Ovis aries: one gene and its partners. The main gene of each other region encodes a partner of the protein of the gene in region 3 in a complex. Links are inferred from orthologs where the notes say so. Each region holds a gene or a part of one and is shown on either strand. Other genes may lie near its edges. The genes, in order: CPLX1, SV2A and SYT1.

Region 1 (5,476 bases), on a different chromosome or scaffold from region 3:
CCCTCTGAACCCTGGACAAGTCAGGAGCTTGGGAAGGGTCTCCAGGGTTGGGGGAGGGCTCAGGGCAACTGACCAAGAGGGCCTCCCCACTGAGCACGGATGCCAGGTCAGCCCAGGGCAGAGTCAACGAGCCAGCCAGACTGCAGCCGCTCCAAGGGGCACACCCCTCTTCCTGGGTCACCACAGAGGGCGGTGCCCTGCCTCGGGGGGAGGGACGCGCAGGGCGGAGAGACACACCACCAGGAATTAGGTCAGACCAGAGGGAGCTTCCCTCCAGCCAGAGGCACAGAGTCCAGCAGTTCCCGCAGCTGCAGGACGTCTGTCCCCAACTGGGGCGCAGGTATGTGCGCTGGACCTAGGAGGCCGTGGTGGCCAAAGCCCCCCACCCCCCACACTCAGCAAAGGTGCACACACGCGCTCAGGGGAGCACGTGATGCTGGCGGAACAGGCGGGTGACAAGGGGACACACACGTAAGGGCAGGAACACAGGGTGTGTGGTCAGGCAGGGGGTCAGGGAGGGGTCTGTGTCACGGTCCTCCCCTCTAGGGTCCAGGAAGGAGACCCCGGGCCCCAAGTCAGTCGCTCCACTGAGGCTAAAAGCCATTCTGACCCTAAGCCACTCTGGGCAGACCTGAGGGCCACTTTACTCTTTGGGGTCACTCCCAGGGCCTGGCTTTGATGTGGTCTGGCTGAGCGCCTGTTTGAAACCCCACCCCTCCCCCAGCTCCCCCAGCCCAACCCCTTCCCTCCATCCTCCTCAACCACTGAGACAGTACCACTGAGGCCCGGAGGGAGCCCAGGCTGCCAGCGCCCTGGGCAAAGCAGTGCTCCCTAACGGTGAGAGTCAGCAATGTGCCCACACCTGTTACTCTCAGCGCAAACCTGGGCCAGGGGGGCTGGGTCGACCAGGACTCGCCAGCCCAGCGCTTGCTGGAGGGTGGTTCTGGCTCAGAGTCACTGATGGCCGCAGTGTAAACCAGAAGGCGGGGGCGCAGACCAGGAAGCAGGGACCAGATGACACAGGCGGCCAGTCTCCCCCGACCTGGACCCGCGCAGTGTGTCATGACGTCATTACGCGCGGGCCGGCGGGCATGGGGTGGGGGGAGGCACCACCCACCAGCCCGCAGAGGCCAGGAGCCCGGATGCAGATGAGGTTCCCCCAGGGAGCCGGGGCACGCGGCCTGGCCTGACCCCTCGGCCTCCGCGTGAGGGACCCCCACTCTCTTCCTTGACCAGTAGAGTTGTCTTAGGGATATACTTTTATATTCCTTTCTAAGTGATTGCTTGGCCAAAAACCTCAAAAATTTCTCTAAATCAGTGGTTCTGAACTGGAGCAATTTTGACCCCAGGGGATATTTGGCAATATCTGGATACATTTCAGGTTGTGAGGTTGGGGGTGGGGGCATGGGGCACCCCATGGGGCACCCCACCCCAGACAGCAGGAAGGGGCTGCAGGAAGTGGGTCTGGGGCCTGGGGGCCAGCGAGGGCCATTGGGGGAACCACTCCAAAAGGTCAGGGGTCCCACCTGTGGGGGCAGGGGGGCGGGAGGGGGTCACCTTGGAAGGCCAGGTTGAGAAGGGCTCTGCAGCCACGGGGGACCAGGCAGGGCCAGGGGATGTGATGGGGGGCGGCGTCGGTGGGTAGGGGGCTCCAGGCGCAGAGCTCATCGTCAGGATGTCTGGGGAGAGAGGGCAGTGGTGACCCCCACCCTGGATGGCCGGGGCAGCCTGTCCTTCCATAGCCGCGCTGTCCACCTCTAGGGTCTTGTGGGCAGAGCGGGCTCCTCTCTGTTGAGCTGGAGGCTCCTTGAAGGAGGTAACCAAATTCTTGGAGACCAACACTGAGGCTGTGAGGACCTGGGGCTTTGGGGCTCTAACATCCAGAGTGCATCAGACCCTGAGCTGCCTCCGACCCATGAATGGGGGCACTCATCATCAGCCTGTCTCCCCTGAACACCGACAGGCCTGGCCCCCACCTGTCAGACTCAGCTGCGTGTGTCGGCATGCTCCCCAACACACCACACCTTCCCTGCAGGCTGCCCCCAAGGACCAAGCCCTGGCCCCCTCGTCCCGCCTCATCCTCTGGTCGCAGAAGCTGGGCTTGGGCTGGTAAGGAAACTGCGGCCCCAGCCCCTGCATGGGGTGGGGCCCAGCTCTGACCCCTGCCCAGGCAACTGAACTCAGCAGACACCATCGTGCCCCATGGGCGGGTGAGACCAGACCCTGGACGTGCCCAGGAAGGAGGCCTGGGCCCAGCAGGGAGACCGTCCACCGTGGCTGATGGAGCCGCGGTGGGTCTGGGGACTGCCAGGGTCCAGAAGCGGCCTGGGGTCTGTGGAGGCAGTTCAGAAGCAAAGGCACTCAGCCCACCCACGGGGGTCCCAGATGGGGGTGATGCTCGTCTGGGGAAGCAGCACCACTGTCCAAGCGACCCCCGGGGCACCAGGCTAGGGGGCCGTGGGGCTCTGCCCAAGGCTGCAGCCTTCCGTGCTGTCGCCCTGGAAGCTGGGGTCCTGAGGGTGGGGGTGGTGAGGGTCGCCCTGCCCCCTGGCCTCCCATGGAGCTGCCCGCAGGGTGGGGACACACCCTCCATTTTCACTGGGACTCACTTTGTGACTTGTGAGTGCCACTCGGTTCCCTGAGGAAGAAAAGGACGCTGGAGCTGATGCCTGTTCACTCACTCACTCGTTTGCTCAGCATGCAAGGCCAAGTGCAGTCAGAGTCCCTGCCCTCCCTGCAGGGGATGGACAGTGAGCAGCAACCCAGTGAGAAGTGTGTGTCAGAGGAGGGGGGCTTCTCAGGTGGCTCAGCGGTAAAGAGTCTGCCTGCCAAAGCAGGAGGACACCGGAGACTGAGGCTGATCCCTGGGTCGGGAAGATCCCTGGAGGAGGAAAAGGCAACCCACTCTGGTACTCTTGCCTGGAGAACCCCACGGACAGAGGAGCCTGGCGGGATCGCAGGGAGCTGGACGCAACCGAGTGCGCAGGCATGCTCCCAGATGAAGGCCGGTGCGGAGCGAGGAAGGCAGGAGAGGAGCGCAGAGGCGGCAGGGCGGCGGGGCCTCAGGGAGCCCCAGAGCGCAGCAGCCAAGCAAAGGCCCTGGGGCAGTGGGAGCCCTGAGGGGCAGTGTCCCCACGCCCCTGGGGCTGGAGCCCCAGGGAGATGGGGCCGCTGGACAGTCTGAGGAGGGGAGGGGCAGAAGGGGCTTCCTATTACAGGCAGAATGCCTGAGCTGTCTCTCTGCCTTCTGGCCCCTCCCCGCCCATGGCTGCCTCCCTCTCTGCTGTCTGTGTGCTCTTCCTGGCCCTTCCCCAAAAGGCTCTGAAAGTCTTGTGGTTGGTCCTGGGGGTGAGGGTCTCATCAGCTGCTGCCCCAGCACAATCAACTTAAACTTTCTGCCCAGAAAGGTGTCCAGTGACCAGTGACGGGACACCAGGGTGCACCCCACCCTCCATCAGCATGGGGGCCCCCGTGGGCCCAGAGACCTGCAGGCGCCCGCCTGTGTCCGCATCGCAGAGGCCCTGCGAACCAGGCAGGAGGGAGGGGCTGGGGACTGTGGAGACGCCCTCTGGACGACCCCTCTGCCCATGCCCGGTCCCCTCCCACAGGCTTCAGCCAGTGTCTGGAAACACTTCCCTCAGGGCCCAGAGATGGGAGTGTCAGGGGGAGCAGGACAGAATTGAGAGGCAGCACCCCCAAACTGAGTCCCCCCCCCCAGGTCTCTGGGTGGAGAGGCCTGGCCCGTGTGGACCCCCGAGTGGTGCTCAAGGCCCAAGACGCTGTGGACCGTGGGAGGCCACGTGCTTCAGGACATCGTGGGGCCCTGGGGAGGGCCCTTGCTTCTCCACCTGGCCTGCAGGCCGGCCCACCCTGGAAGAGGCAGGAGCAGCTGCCCCATGCCTGCCCTTCCGACCCACAGCTGGGTGGGCACCTGAGGGTGGGCAGTGGACAGGCCCCTGGGGCCCGCAGCTGACAGCCTCCCATGTCTGCCCCTGCTCTGGCCTCGGGTCCCGGCCGGGTGTGTGCGCATGCCGTGCACACAGAGGAAGGTGCCAGAGGGTTCTGGAAAGATGACCTCGAGCTCCCAGCCCACCCCCAGCCAGCCCACACAGCCACAGACCTGCCCCCAACACCCTGTCATTCACCTCAGGGGCCTAAGGCCCACCCGGGCGGGGTCAGGGGCATCCTCCAGCCCAGGACGATTCACCCACCTGCAGCCCGCCGGTGGGCCAGCCCCTGGCCGCCCTGCCTCTCCTCTCCAGAAGGGCCTGCCCTCCAAGTCCCTGGGGGCAGTCCTGGGGGCAGCCACGGGAGCTTGTCCTACAGAAGCCAGCACGCCAGCCCGGGATCCTGGGAGGAGGGGTCCAGCCCCCGCCACCGGAGCCAGGAGGACTCGGACCGCAGGGCGAGCCCCAGGCCCGGTGAGCGTGTGCAGACGCGCGCGCTGGGACGCGGGATCTCCCCCGCCCGCCCCCTCCCCGGGGGGCCCTCCGCGAGGTCCGTTCTGCGAGCCTCGGAGGAGGGCGGGCGGCGGCCCAGCCCGGCTTCGCCCAGCCCTCGCGCAGGCAGCACCCCCAGCCCGGCCCCGGCCCCCGGTGCCGAGCCGCCGCCGCGCCCACCTTGTCGCGGATGCCCTGCCGCACGGCCTCGCGCTCCGCCTCCATCTTGGCGTACTTGGCCTTGCGCTCCTCCTCCTCCTGGCGCAGCGCCTCGCGCCGCTCCTCCTCCTTCTTGGCGGCGTCAGGGTCCTTCTCCTCGTCGCCCCCGAGCATCTTGCCCATGTCCTTGGTGGCCCCTGGGCACAGGAAGGCGGGAGTCAGGCCAGGCCCGGCTTCTCCTTGCCCTGCGCCCTCGGCCTCCAGTGTGGGGCGGAGGAGGCTGGGGCTGTCGGGGTGCGACTGCACGAGGGCTCCTGCGGGCCTCTGTGCTGCGGTTCTGTGTGTGGTGTGTGTGGTTTTGGGTATGTGGTTGTGTTTGTGTGCCTGTGTGTGGTTGTTGTGTGTGTCTGCGTGTAGTTGTGTGTGTGTGTGGTTGTTGTGTGTCTATGGGTGGTTGTGTGCATGCCTGTGGCTTTGTGTGTGTGGTTGTGTCTGTGGTTGTGTGTGATAGTCTTTGTGTGCTTGTGGGTGGTTGTGTGTGTGCCTGTGGGTAGCTGTGTGTCTGTGAGTGGTTGTGTGTGTGTGTCTGGTTGTGTGTGTTTCTATGGGTGGCTGTGTGTGGCTGTGGCTGTGTGTGTGGTTTTGTGTATGTGGTTGTGTTTGTGTGCCTGTGTGTGGTTGTTGTGTGTGTCTGCATGTAGTTGTGTGTGTGTGTGGGTGTGGGTGGTTGTGTGCATGTCTGTGGCTTTGTGTGTGTGGTTGTGTTTGTGTGCCTGTGGGCGGTTGTCTGTGTGTGTTTCTGTGCTGTGTGTGTCTGCATGTAGTTGTATGTGTGTACACCTGTGGGTGGTTGTGTGTGTGGTTGTGTGCATGTCTGG
Region 2 (5,977 bases), on a different chromosome or scaffold from region 3:
TATGGGCCATTCAGTATACATCTCTTACTTTGACCTTGGAGACTAGACCCATGGGATTTGCTCCAAAGTCACGATCACCTACCCAGAGCCCATCTCCTGATCCCTGGCCCCACTTCAAGAACAGACCATTTGCTTTACCACCCACCTGCCAAAGATAAAACAGGAAATGGAGAAACCAAAACTCCCTTCTCTAGTCTGGTCTGGGTTTCTTACTGGGAGCAGAGCTTGCAGGGAACGTATAGAAGGACAACTGAATCCTTCAACCTGTTGCCTTCAGACCACTGATGGCATCTGAATATGGGGCTTTATGGTCCTTCCTCAGGTTCCATGTTTGTAGGCTTCACAAAGAAGAGTCTTCTCCCAACATAGCTCAGTGGGTGAAAGCTCAGCTTCCAGAATCAGACAGACTTAGATTTGACTTCCTGCTTCAACAGCTTACTAAGTGACCATGAGCATGTCTCTGATCCTCAAAGCCTTAGTTCCCTCTCATTAAAGAGGGGGAAGTAAGGATTAAATGACATAATGAGTATAAGCTCTTTACCATAGTGCCTGGCACATAACAACTGATGAATAAATATTAGTTATTACTCTTTGTGGTGATAGTAATGTGGTAAGATGACCTCCACTCCCTCACAAGACGTTAGAACGAAAGCCACCTGTGGATGCTCTTTAGGGTGAATGGCAGAAAGGGATACTGGCAAGGAGAGAGCTGGTTCAGTGCACAGCGCATGACAATCAGATGACATAAGTTGAAATTCCAGCTCTGCCATTTACTAACTGATCTTGAGCAGGTTCCTGAACATCTCTAAACCTCAGAGTCCTTATATTTAAACTGGGGATAATAATCTCTATTTCTCCAGGTGGATGTGATAATTTAATCTCACAGCAGACCTTCTATTAGTTTCTTTCCTTCCTACTAGATTAAAAACTGTGAAAGAAGCAGCAAGGGCAAAGCAGGGGGGGGGTCACATTTGGATGCTGTTGTAACCTCCCAATACAGAATCCCCAAAACCCCTCTGTGTTCAAACAAATGCCAGCAGCTGGACCCATACTGTCTGCTCCAGACAAACAATGGAAGACTCACAAAAAGGGAGACCTGGAATCTGAGGTCATGGGGAAAAAGGGGCAGACCAAAATCTAAAAAAGAGGTAACGACTGGCTTGCCACCTTCCTTCAGGATGTCATAAATGGGCCCCCTTTCACCGGTGGGGGTAGGGGTGGAAAATCAAACACATACATTTCCAACATGGGCATCTAAGGTCTATGGTTGTACCTCCTTCCTCCATGGCCTCCCTTTCTAATCCCCCTTAATCCTTTCTGCTCCTCCTCCAAGAGTCAAGGAAAAGGGAGTCCATAAATACCGCATTGCGTAGGAGCTCATATAGAATGAAGGGGGCTTGGACCTCCCCTCCCCCACAAAAGACATCCTCCAGAGGCAAGCATGGGAGAAGCCCCTCTTCCTTTATAGAAGCAGAGGAAGCAGGACTAGATTCTGATCAGAGATCATTACCCTAAAAATATCCTGCTTCATTCTGTTCCAACCCATCCAGGGCCTTCATTAAATGTCACACATACACTTATACACACACACACACACACACACACACACACACACACACACACACACACAGTGGCCCAGGCAGAAGGAGTAAGTAATGCTATGTAGTTTAGAAAGAAGCACTGGCAAAGCAGAGCCCTACCCCCTCAGGTCAGATGTGAGCAGTGGACCACGATGACCAGAACCAGTGACCCCTATGTCACCTTCTTTCCTTGTGGTTCAAGGCCCAAACCATCCCCCATTGGAGAGAGGGAACAGTGGAATCCCCTTTTGGCATGCAATTTGTTTGCCTCACCTTTCCTTCCCTGTTAGGCTCTCCCCCCAAACCCTGGCACAGGCAGATGGGCCCAGCAGGAGCCACGCTCGGTGTTTGTTTACACTCTCCACCCCTGAGAGGAACCGGAAGGGCACAGAGGGCCCCGGAGCCACAGCAGGACGTGATGGCTCAGCAGCCAGCTCCCCCAGGGCCAACAAGCCCAGGAGCTCAGGAGGGAGAGAAAGAAGACAAATTCTTCAAGCTGGTGAGAAAGTGGTGCTATTTTTAGCCCCCAAAGCAGCACAGGGTGGCTAAGCTTGTGGGAGGGAGACAGACTCAGAGACGTAGAGGTTAAAGGAGATAAGATTCAGGGTTACAGGGCTCTTTAAGGTCGGTTGGCTTCACCTGATGGGAAAACATGCCCGAGAGATTTTCTGCAGAGGATGGGGGGAGGCAGGAGACTCTGAGCAAAGGCTTCCTCTCAGGATAACTCAGCCCAAGATTGGTTGTGGGGTGGGAAGGTCCAGAACCCCTCACCTCCATCAAAGCCCCTGACTTTGGAAGCCACCTGGATTTCCCAACCCACCCTAGCCCAGGTGACAAGGTCGTTAAGAAGCAATCACTTATCAAAACATTCATGGTTGTGGGGGAGAGAGGTGCTGGAGCACCCCTCCCCACCTCTGCTGGGTAACTGAGCCTCGATCCCCACCCCAGGACAGCCAAGGCTGCACCACTCCTGCCTACATACTACCCTACGGTTTGGAAGATGGAGTCTCCACAGTTCTGATGGGGAAAAGATCAAGGTGTCAGCTGAGAATGTCCAAGGAGGAATTCGGAGAGGCAGGGACCAGAATGCAAGGGGAGATCTTCAGGAGCGCAGGCATAGAGACCGCCCCTGCCAGCATCCGCGGCGACCCTCTCCATCCTGCCCTACTCTGGTATAAGAGCGGAGCCCCTAGAACTGACTGAACCCATTCTCCCAGCGCCTCCCCTCACCCTTGATTCTGCTGCTGGACTAGTGCCCATCAGCACTCAACACCCCTTCCCCCGACCCCGACCCCAGAGCGACTGCCTGCCTCCAGCCCCACCCCCAACCATACCCCCAAGCCTGGTTGTTCACCACCTCTATCTACCCAACATTTCCGTTCACCATTCCCTTTCTTCCCTCCTTCATCTGCCCTTCCTCCACCAACCCCCTCCCCCCCCACACACCCCACAAACCCAACCGCTCCCCCCCACCACCCGCAACCCAAGTCCAGGTGCACAGACTGAGGCAGCATATATTCTCCCGCCCCAGCCAAGGTCATCTATCACGCGGGGCGAGGGGGAGAGGTGGAGGGGGGGGTGCAAGATGAGTTGGGAATTGGAGTTTGAGGGAACCCTATTCCACCTTACAAGCCCCCACCCCCGTTAACATCTGAGGAGAGTAGTATGAGCTTGGTTAAGGTAGAGAAAAACACCCCTCCTCCACACATATATATATGTATAAATATATATATTTCCTTCTCTGATCAACACAGCAACCGCCATAAATGTCCATTCAAACCACCAGCAATCCCGTCACCCCCGATGAGGGACGGTCACCCTCCCCACAAGCAAAGCATCGGAAGATAAAATGGCTGCAAGACAAGGCGAGGATGCTTCTGCCCCGGGGCGGGGTGGAGCTGAGAAACTGAGAGAGGGGTCTCACCTGGGCTGGGTCCCCCAGATAAGGGAGTCCGGGTGAGGGCGGGGGTCCCGGCGGTGGGGCAGGCGGCAGCGGCGTCTGCTCTGGGTACCAAGGGAAGCAGCAATGCAGACCTGCCCCCCCACGGGCTCCGGCCCCGCCTCCGCCCTCCCCCCGCCCTCCCCCGCCCCCCGCACCAGTGAGCGTCGGGAGAGACCATTGTTGGGGGGTGGGGGGTGGAAGAAAAAAGAGGATGGGGAGGGACTCGGGGCTGGGGAGAGGCGGTGAGGGAGCTGGAGGGGCTGTCACAGGGGCAGCTGGAGATGACACCAGCCCCTCCTAGTTAAAGACTAAAGGATCTAAGGAAAGTAATACTGATGTCGAGAAGGCAAGTGGGAAGACAGAAAGGGAGATGGTGAACGAGGCAGCCCCTTCCTCAGAGCCTCAGTCCCGGAATGGCAAGACCCACAAATGTTAGGGACTCGCTCTGCCTTCAAATCGCCTCCCTTTCCCTTCCTCACTGTTCCTAGCCAAACTCCCAAATCTGGACTGCTCACACTCCAAGTTTACCTGGCTGTTTCACAGGAAGCAAGAATAACAAAATGTGGTTTTTATCCTAAACTGCCAGAGAAGGAAACTCCTGGATCCTTGTTATCTCTTTCCAGACTATTTATTTCCAATCAGACCTCCTTGTCCTCCGTTCTGCTGGTGACAGCAGAGGTTGGAGAAGCTGCAGGGGTTTGATGGGCATGACCAGTTGGGCATCTCCCCTGCCAATTATTTCCTTCTTGCTGTTGTTAAGTCCCTAAGTCATATCCTACTCTTTTTCTACCCCATAGACTAGCTAGCCAGGCTCCTCTGTCCATGGGATTTCCCAGGCAAGACTGGAGTGGGTTGCCATTTCCTTTTCCAGAAGATCTTCCTGACCCCAGGGATCAACACTCATCTCCTGTCCTTCATTGGCAGATGGATTCTTTACCACTGAGCCACCAGGGAAGCCCTAGGTATTTGTTACAATAACTCAAAAAAAAACCAACAACAATCTCCCGCAGTACTCTTCCCCACTTTCTCTTAACACACACACACACACACACACACACACACACACACACACACACACACACACACACACTTCTGCTTCCAGGGCAAGAACAAAGTGAATTGGTTTCACTTCTTTCCTTTTATCTTTCCTTTGCCTCAGTATCAATAACCTGGGCTTAGAGATCCAAGACATACCACTTGGTGAACATATTTGCTTCAGAGATGAGGGAAGCAGGTACTTTGGAGATGCTCATACTGAATGTAAGTCTACCTATTCGAGGTAAGGACTGGGGTTATTTGGACAGAGCACTGACCAGGGTTCTCACTTCCAATAAGCTGTGGGCCCTTGGTCAAGTTCTCTGTCTCTCTGAACCCCAGTTTTCTCAGCTGGAAAATGAGGGGCTTAGAGTAGATGCTGCATTGGATCTCTTATATTTAATAATGTGTGGTTCTGTTCTGTTAAGCACAGAGGTTTCAAAATGTTAGGATACGTTACATGGAGAGGGCTGGCAGCTGGGTGTCCCCAACCTCACAGGTGGCATTTGTGGTACTGAATTTATCACTGACAAAGATATGGGTCTCTGGAGTTTCACAAAGCTACATCTTGGAATATTGTTTTGTGCCAACAAGGTTTACAATTTACTAAAACAGAAAGCCATAATACGTAAGTGTTAAGTTACAGAGAAAAATTTAACTGTCACTCACACTGAAGGAAAACTCATGTCTGCATGTCCAGCACATTCTCTCCCTTTAAACCAAGTCAACAATAATGTCAACATATAAATGCACATTGATATAACCAAAGAGGAGGAGTTGTGTCTTTAATGGCATCTGGCCATCCCCAGCAAGGAGTCGTGCCAATGGGTTCAGAAAACTCTTCTTGGCTACGATTCTCCACCCCCCATCTCTACGCTGTGGGCAGCCTTGCCAATGCTCCTGGACTACTCTAACTCCGCTGGTTGAAGCACTCTTTCCAGGATGGCTCTTGGAAAGGCTGTGCCCATATGGGCCTGAGGGACTCTCCCGTTACTAGCATTCACTGCTGACTTCTCTTCAGGTTGACATATTCTTCATTTAAATATGTAAATATTTTCAATTAGGTTATAGCCAAGTTCCGCTGGCAGGGAGCCATGTCTTCTCTTTAAGGTGACTTTGCATATGCTCTACTTAGCCATTACTTATCCATTTCTAAAATAGAAATCTTGTACTCTTAGAGGGAAAGGGTGGATATATTTTTCAAGTTCTGAGGAAAGACTTTATCATTTCTCCCTAGAACCAAGGACCCATGCACCTCACCAGCTACTCCTTCAAGGGCCCCTTTTCTGGGTCCACTAAGTTTCCTAGGGGCTGAGTTCAGGGCCCTTCTCTGCTTCCACCTACTCTCTTTGTGATCACCTCAAGTAGACCCTTGACCTTAATGCTGTCTCTATGATATCAATTCCCACATTTCTATCTC
Region 3 (5,476 bases):
ATGAAGCACATTAGAAACAAGATGTGTGCTGGGTTTCTGAGGCAGCCTTTCAGAGAAGATAACATTTTGTCAGGACAGAGAGAGCCTGATACAGAGTCCATGAGGCATGAAAAAAATGAGCATGCCTTTGACTGTATCCTGTCTTCTCTGTTCTGTGAGTCAATTTGCTCTTTTTTCTCTTTTTTCCCCCAAGAGGCTGCTTACCTAAGCTTTGCATTTCCCAAGAGAAAATAATTGAGCATTTAACATGCTGTGATAGGGACTTAGGTTTCATTTATCCTGAGGTTATAAGAGTGTCTTTCTGCCCCTATCCACATGAAACAAGAAAGAAACAAAATATACTGATTCCCCCAAATCACAAGAAAATGCAGCAAACCACCCCTCCACTCCCCAAAAATGTATATACTACATACACAGCTGGAAAAACTGACTCAAGTCCCTTATAAGGATATTTTGTCCTGGTTGCTACTAATCAATATATTCCTAGGTGAAACAACCAAAACTCACTCCAACTATTCACTCCAACCTCCAAAACCCTAGTTCCCTTTGTCCACGATGCCCCTAGTGTCTCTGCCCCCATTTGCTGCAATAAAATGGCATCCAGATAAATTCACTTGGGAAAAGTACACAGAACCACCATGATGCTCTTCTTGGTCCCGAATGCCATCCAGTAAATAGGTCATTCTCTTGATAATGGAATCAATCCACGGCTGCACAAAAGGGAAATTTGTTTCCTCTAACTGCCCGTGTGCTACATTCTACATTCTCAATTCCACTCTCAGAAGTGATCTTTTTTCTCTGATCTGAAGCTTTGTGTGGGCGCCTCTCTCAGGACGTTCATACAGAATGCAATCCTCAGACAACAGAGCAGTAAAGGGCCACAGCTGGGCAGGCTCTTCATCTGGCCCTGGCTTCCATCGTTACATTTTCTGCTTCTTTTGACTCTGGCCACCAAATGTTATAAATTCACTTTACTCTAAATTTGTCCTTTATCTTTTCCCTTGGTTTCTAGATCGGAACTGTTGCCTATTTTGACTAAGCAAATCAGTTACTTAGAAAGAACCAAAATGTACTTTTAGAAAATGTTTTTTTCATGTCAAACTGGCATAGATTTTCTTTCACCAGTTCAAAATAGTAAGGCATTAAATACACCATCACAATATTTTTCAGCCATTAAAAAGAAATAATCCCATTTAAAAAGAAGGAAATAATGCCATTTGCAATAACATGGCAGGACCTAGAGTGTCACGCGGAATAAAGTAAGTCACACAGAAAAGGAGAAATATCACACGACATCCCTTCTATGTGGAATCTAAAAAGAACTGATACAAACGAACTTGCCAAACAGAAAGAAACAGAAAACAAACTTAGGGTTTTCAGGGGGAAGGGATAATTAGGGACTTTGGGAAGATCATGAACATACAGCCATATTCAAAATGGATAACCAACAAGGTTATCCTACTGTACAGCACATGGAACTCTGCTCAGTGTTATGTTCCAGCCTGGATGGGAGGGGGGTTTAGAGGAGATGGATACAGGTATATGTATGGCTGAGTGCCTCTGCTGCTCACCTGAAACTATCACAGTATTGTTAATTGGCTATACCCCAGTACAAAATAATAAGTTTAAATCTTGGAAAAAATAAAATAAACCCTCACAACCTAACGGAATCACTTGGAGTAAATCTTGTCAGCCTAAAGGGTTATTTCCATTTGATGTCAACACTGGATACACAGTTACTTCGTTTTTATTGAGAGAATTTATGAATGAGAAAAAAATACCTTTAGTTAATTACTACTTATTGAAGACTTTTACTCTATTGTGACACTTCATACTCACAATAATCATTGATTAGCTGGAATTCTACAGTAGTTTTAAATAAAACTATGCTGGCTCTTCCCACCTGAAATAGGGTTGCAGTATATGGTTGCTTTGAAAACTGTAACCGCCCCCTCCAAGAAAATGATCTGAGTACTAATGTCAGAAATTTTGTTGATAAAACAATAGAAACAAATGGATTTAACAGTGAACACAGGTTGACATGGGCGGCGTGGCATGGTATTTTACAGGATGAACCCCGGAAACCAAACCACTCATTTCTTATATGACTTGAGGCAGGTGATTTAACTCCTCTGAGCTTTAGCATCTTATCTGTATGACAGCAGTTAACAGGATCTAATGTAACTCAGCAGTCCACACGAAAGTCTTAGAACTGTGCCAAAACGGACATCTATTAAGTATTTTGAAGATGCTGCAGATGATGATGATGTGATAATGACAAGAGGGACTGGACTTGTGTTAGGTTCCCAGTCATTTTCAGCCTCGTCCTGGCACTTGCGGATCGGCTCTTCTTAGCTCCCAATTGCTTGGATCTCAAGGAAGCTGGGTGGTAGGACTGTATCTCTAGAGCTGGCTGATTAATGTGTATTTTGTGTCCTCTCTCAGAAAGTGCAAGTGGTGGTAACTGTTTTGGACTATGACAAGATTGGCAAGAACGATGCCATCGGCAAAGTGTTCGTGGGCTACAACAGCACTGGGGCGGAGCTGCGACACTGGTCAGACATGCTGGCCAACCCCCGGCGCCCCATCGCCCAGTGGCACACCCTGCAGGTGGAGGAGGAGGTGGACGCCATGCTGGCAGTCAAGAAGTAAGGGAAGAAGCCTCTCTGTGTTTGCCCACATAGTGCTCTTTAGCCAGTATCTGTAAATACCTCAGTAATATGGGTCCTTTCATTTTTCCAGCCATGCATTCCTAACACAATTCAGTGGTACTTCAAACCCTGTTTTAATTTGCACAAATTTAAATGTAGAGAGCCCCAAAGCCCTTCATCATCCCACTGCCCTCCAAATCTACTCTTCTTTTAAGCAATATGATGTGTAGATAGAGCATGACGGAAATTCTTTATTGTATCACACCGTTGTATATACCAGTATGCTAAAGATTTATTTCTAGTTTGTGTATTTGTATGTTGTAAGTGTTTCCTAATCTGTGTATATCTAGATGTTTTTAATAAGATGTTCTATTTTAAACTATGTAAATTGACTGAGATATAGGAGAGCTGATAATATATTATACGGTAAATAGAGTATCATCTGCATTCCAGCAATCTCAACTTGTAAGGCACTAGTACGGTGAAGCTGACACCTTAAAGGACAACTTAAACCTGAGCTTTCTGTTGAATCATGTGAGCACCAAGATACGCTTGCACCACAAATTTGGTGGGTGAATCCAATTTGGTAGAATTTCTTCACAGGCAAATTAGCATGATCTGAGCAGCACCCAGCCAGCCTGACCTCCAGGCACAAACAGAATAGCATCCGTCTGTGCACATCTACAGAGCTCAAGGCAGAGCTTCACTCTGACATTCGCGGAAGCAACTGACCAGCGGTCAGTGATTCCATGTTACTGCACATAGAGTACCGACATGATGGTGTTCCGTGTGTGTGTGTGTTTGTGTGTGTGTGTGTGTGTGTGTGTACACACCCACATTTGTCTGGGGATGGGAGGGGTGGGAAAGAAGCAGAGGAGAGAAGAAGTCGGCATTTCGAAATGTTGCCTGACTATTCAAGAAGAAAAGTAGCTCTCCGTTCTCAGCTTCACACACCCTGTGCACCCTGTGAATTCTGTCCCAGCTGTCACACCTACAATGACTCCAAAGGTTTGCACATCAGACTCCATAACAGAACATTTTATTATACTGGATTAGAAGGAATGCAGAATATTTTTAACACAGCAGTCTGTGCTTAGGACACAAGATTACTTGGTGGTAAACAGACAGTATTGTAATCCCATCAAAAGAGGAAGGAAATAACTAGCCATAGTTCTGAATGCACCTCCATTAAAGCCAAAACAGACAGTTAGCTAGTGATCTTTTTATATGCTCTTTTTACGTAAATAAGTTTTAATTTGTCCTTTAAAATAAAAAAAGGTGAAACACAACCAAGAATAAGTTCTAGAAAACTGAAGCAACCTCTTATGTATACTAGATGCTTGATTTAGGAGGAGTTTTTAAATGTTTTCAATGTTATTATGTAGTAAACGGCACTATTATGAAGCTACTAGTCATTCCATAAGCGTCTTAAAGGACTGCTCTGTGTAACACTGTGACTGCCGTGTGTGCTTAGACACGTAACGTAGTTTCCTCAGTGGATAGCACTCAGTCTATTCCTTAGTGATATTGTAACAATACTGCCATTCCCTCCTACTGCACTGCCCAAGGTGTGTGTAGCACAAACAGTTCTCATTACAAAGGACCAACTCAGCACCGAAAAGCTATGCATAGGATAAGAACGACAGAAAGCACGAGGTGGATCACACAGCATTTTGTCAAGCACTGTGCAATATACCACATTTATCCCCACTGCAGCAGACCACCACTTCACCGAAGGGCAGCCTCTGATCTCACACTGCATCTAGCCTTTGCTCCCACCAGCCTCTGTGGTTCCTTCTCACTCCCAGGCCAGAGAGAGTAGGAATGCTCTGAAGGGGAAGTCTGTCTTCAAAAATACCAGAACAAAATGGAAGGAAGCTAAGCATTGGCCTCACGTTCAGGCTTTTGGATTTCGTGCCACGGTTCTTAAAACCTCAAAGAGAATTCAAAAAAGCCTAACGGGAAGCGTCAATCGTAGGGCTGGCCGTTTCCTGAGAAAACTAGAATTCCTGTCTAGTTCTTTCCTTATCAAAGCAGAGGCCAGCCCTTTGGCCTTTCAGCCCAGTTGCAGCAGACTCCTCGGGACTGGGATAGACCTGAAGGACGAAGGGAGAATAAGACCTCCCCCTTCTGTGGATGCTCCACACTTTTTTCCAAAAAGTAGACAGTAGAAAATGCACAAGTCCTGATGTCAGATTAAACACCTGCTTTAAAAAAAAAGATTCAAATGAGACTCCTTCCGATTTAAAAGATAAGACCCTACCAAAGCAAGGGAGTTGACTGACTTTTTTAAGTTCCTTGAATATCAGAAATTGACATGAGTTCACTGTATTCAGCTTTAAGTTGTTCGCACCGAAACAAACATTTTGAAACAAGCAGGTTCAAGTTGCCAAGTACAAATCATTTCTTGTATTAAGGCATGAGTAATGTGTTCTCTTGCAACACTGCCAGACATGGGATATTGTCACCATAGAATCAGCTGGTACTACACCACCTGTCACGAGTCAGTGACCGAACCTGCTTCAAGACCGAGATTCATCCTCCAATAAGCCACACGAACCCTTCTGACAAAGCTGTGTAAAGTATTAGAATCTGATGCTCTAGAACGATCCTAGTTGCCTTTGTGTATATTTACTGCCTGCTTGAGTGCTTCTCTGTGTGGATTTTCTCTGTATCTTGTAGAAACGTTGGGGTGTTTTCTTCTGCCATATGGCTCGTGGCCCGCGAGCCAACTACTTTAGCTGTATTTTACCTTCATTTTTGATGAGGTGGTTTAAATTTTGTTTCATTTCGTGTAGTGAATTCCACAGTAGTTTTCTGATTGT

Evidence for each region.
Region 1: the proteins of SYT1 (region 3) and CPLX1 are in contact, whole or in part, in a crystal structure (PDB 5W5C), measured with the Rattus norvegicus proteins. The link is inferred for Ovis aries from reciprocal best matches to the Homo sapiens genes SYT1 and CPLX1. Residues at the interface, in NP_001028852.2 of Rattus norvegicus: Glu271, Thr383, Gly384, Glu386, Thr406, Leu407, Gln408, Glu412, Met416; in NP_074055.1 of Rattus norvegicus: Val61, Met62, Gly65, Asp68, Lys69, Tyr70, Lys74.
Region 2: the proteins of SYT1 (region 3) and SV2A are in contact, whole or in part, in a crystal structure (PDB 4V11), measured with the Homo sapiens proteins. The link is inferred for Ovis aries from reciprocal best matches to the Homo sapiens genes SYT1 and SV2A. Residues at the interface, in NP_001129277.1 of Homo sapiens: Thr291, Lys314, Lys326, Lys327, Lys328, Glu342, Ser343, Phe344, Ser345; in NP_001315603.1 of Homo sapiens: Asp82, Thr84, Glu85, Gly86, His87, Asp88.

Annotation. Positions count from the first base shown.
Region 1 is NC_056059.1:118,208,844-118,214,319, reverse strand, and holds part of CPLX1 (complexin-1), read right to left. Parts: intron 4,796-5,476; coding exon 4,620-4,795; intron 1-4,619. UniProt on the Homo sapiens protein: Positively regulates a late step in exocytosis of various cytoplasmic vesicles, such as synaptic vesicles and other secretory vesicles.
Region 2 is NC_056054.1:100,018,181-100,024,157, forward strand, and holds the start of SV2A (synaptic vesicle glycoprotein 2A), read right to left. Parts: upstream 3,609-5,977; 5' UTR 3,505-3,608; intron 1-3,504. UniProt on the Homo sapiens protein: Plays a role in the control of regulated secretion in neural and endocrine cells, enhancing selectively low-frequency neurotransmission.
Region 3 is NC_056056.1:115,557,271-115,562,746, forward strand, and holds part of SYT1 (synaptotagmin-1), read left to right. Parts: intron 1-2,445; coding exon 2,446-2,652; 3' UTR 2,653-5,476. UniProt on the Homo sapiens protein: Calcium sensor that participates in triggering neurotransmitter release at the synapse. May have a regulatory role in the membrane interactions during trafficking of synaptic vesicles at the active zone of the synapse.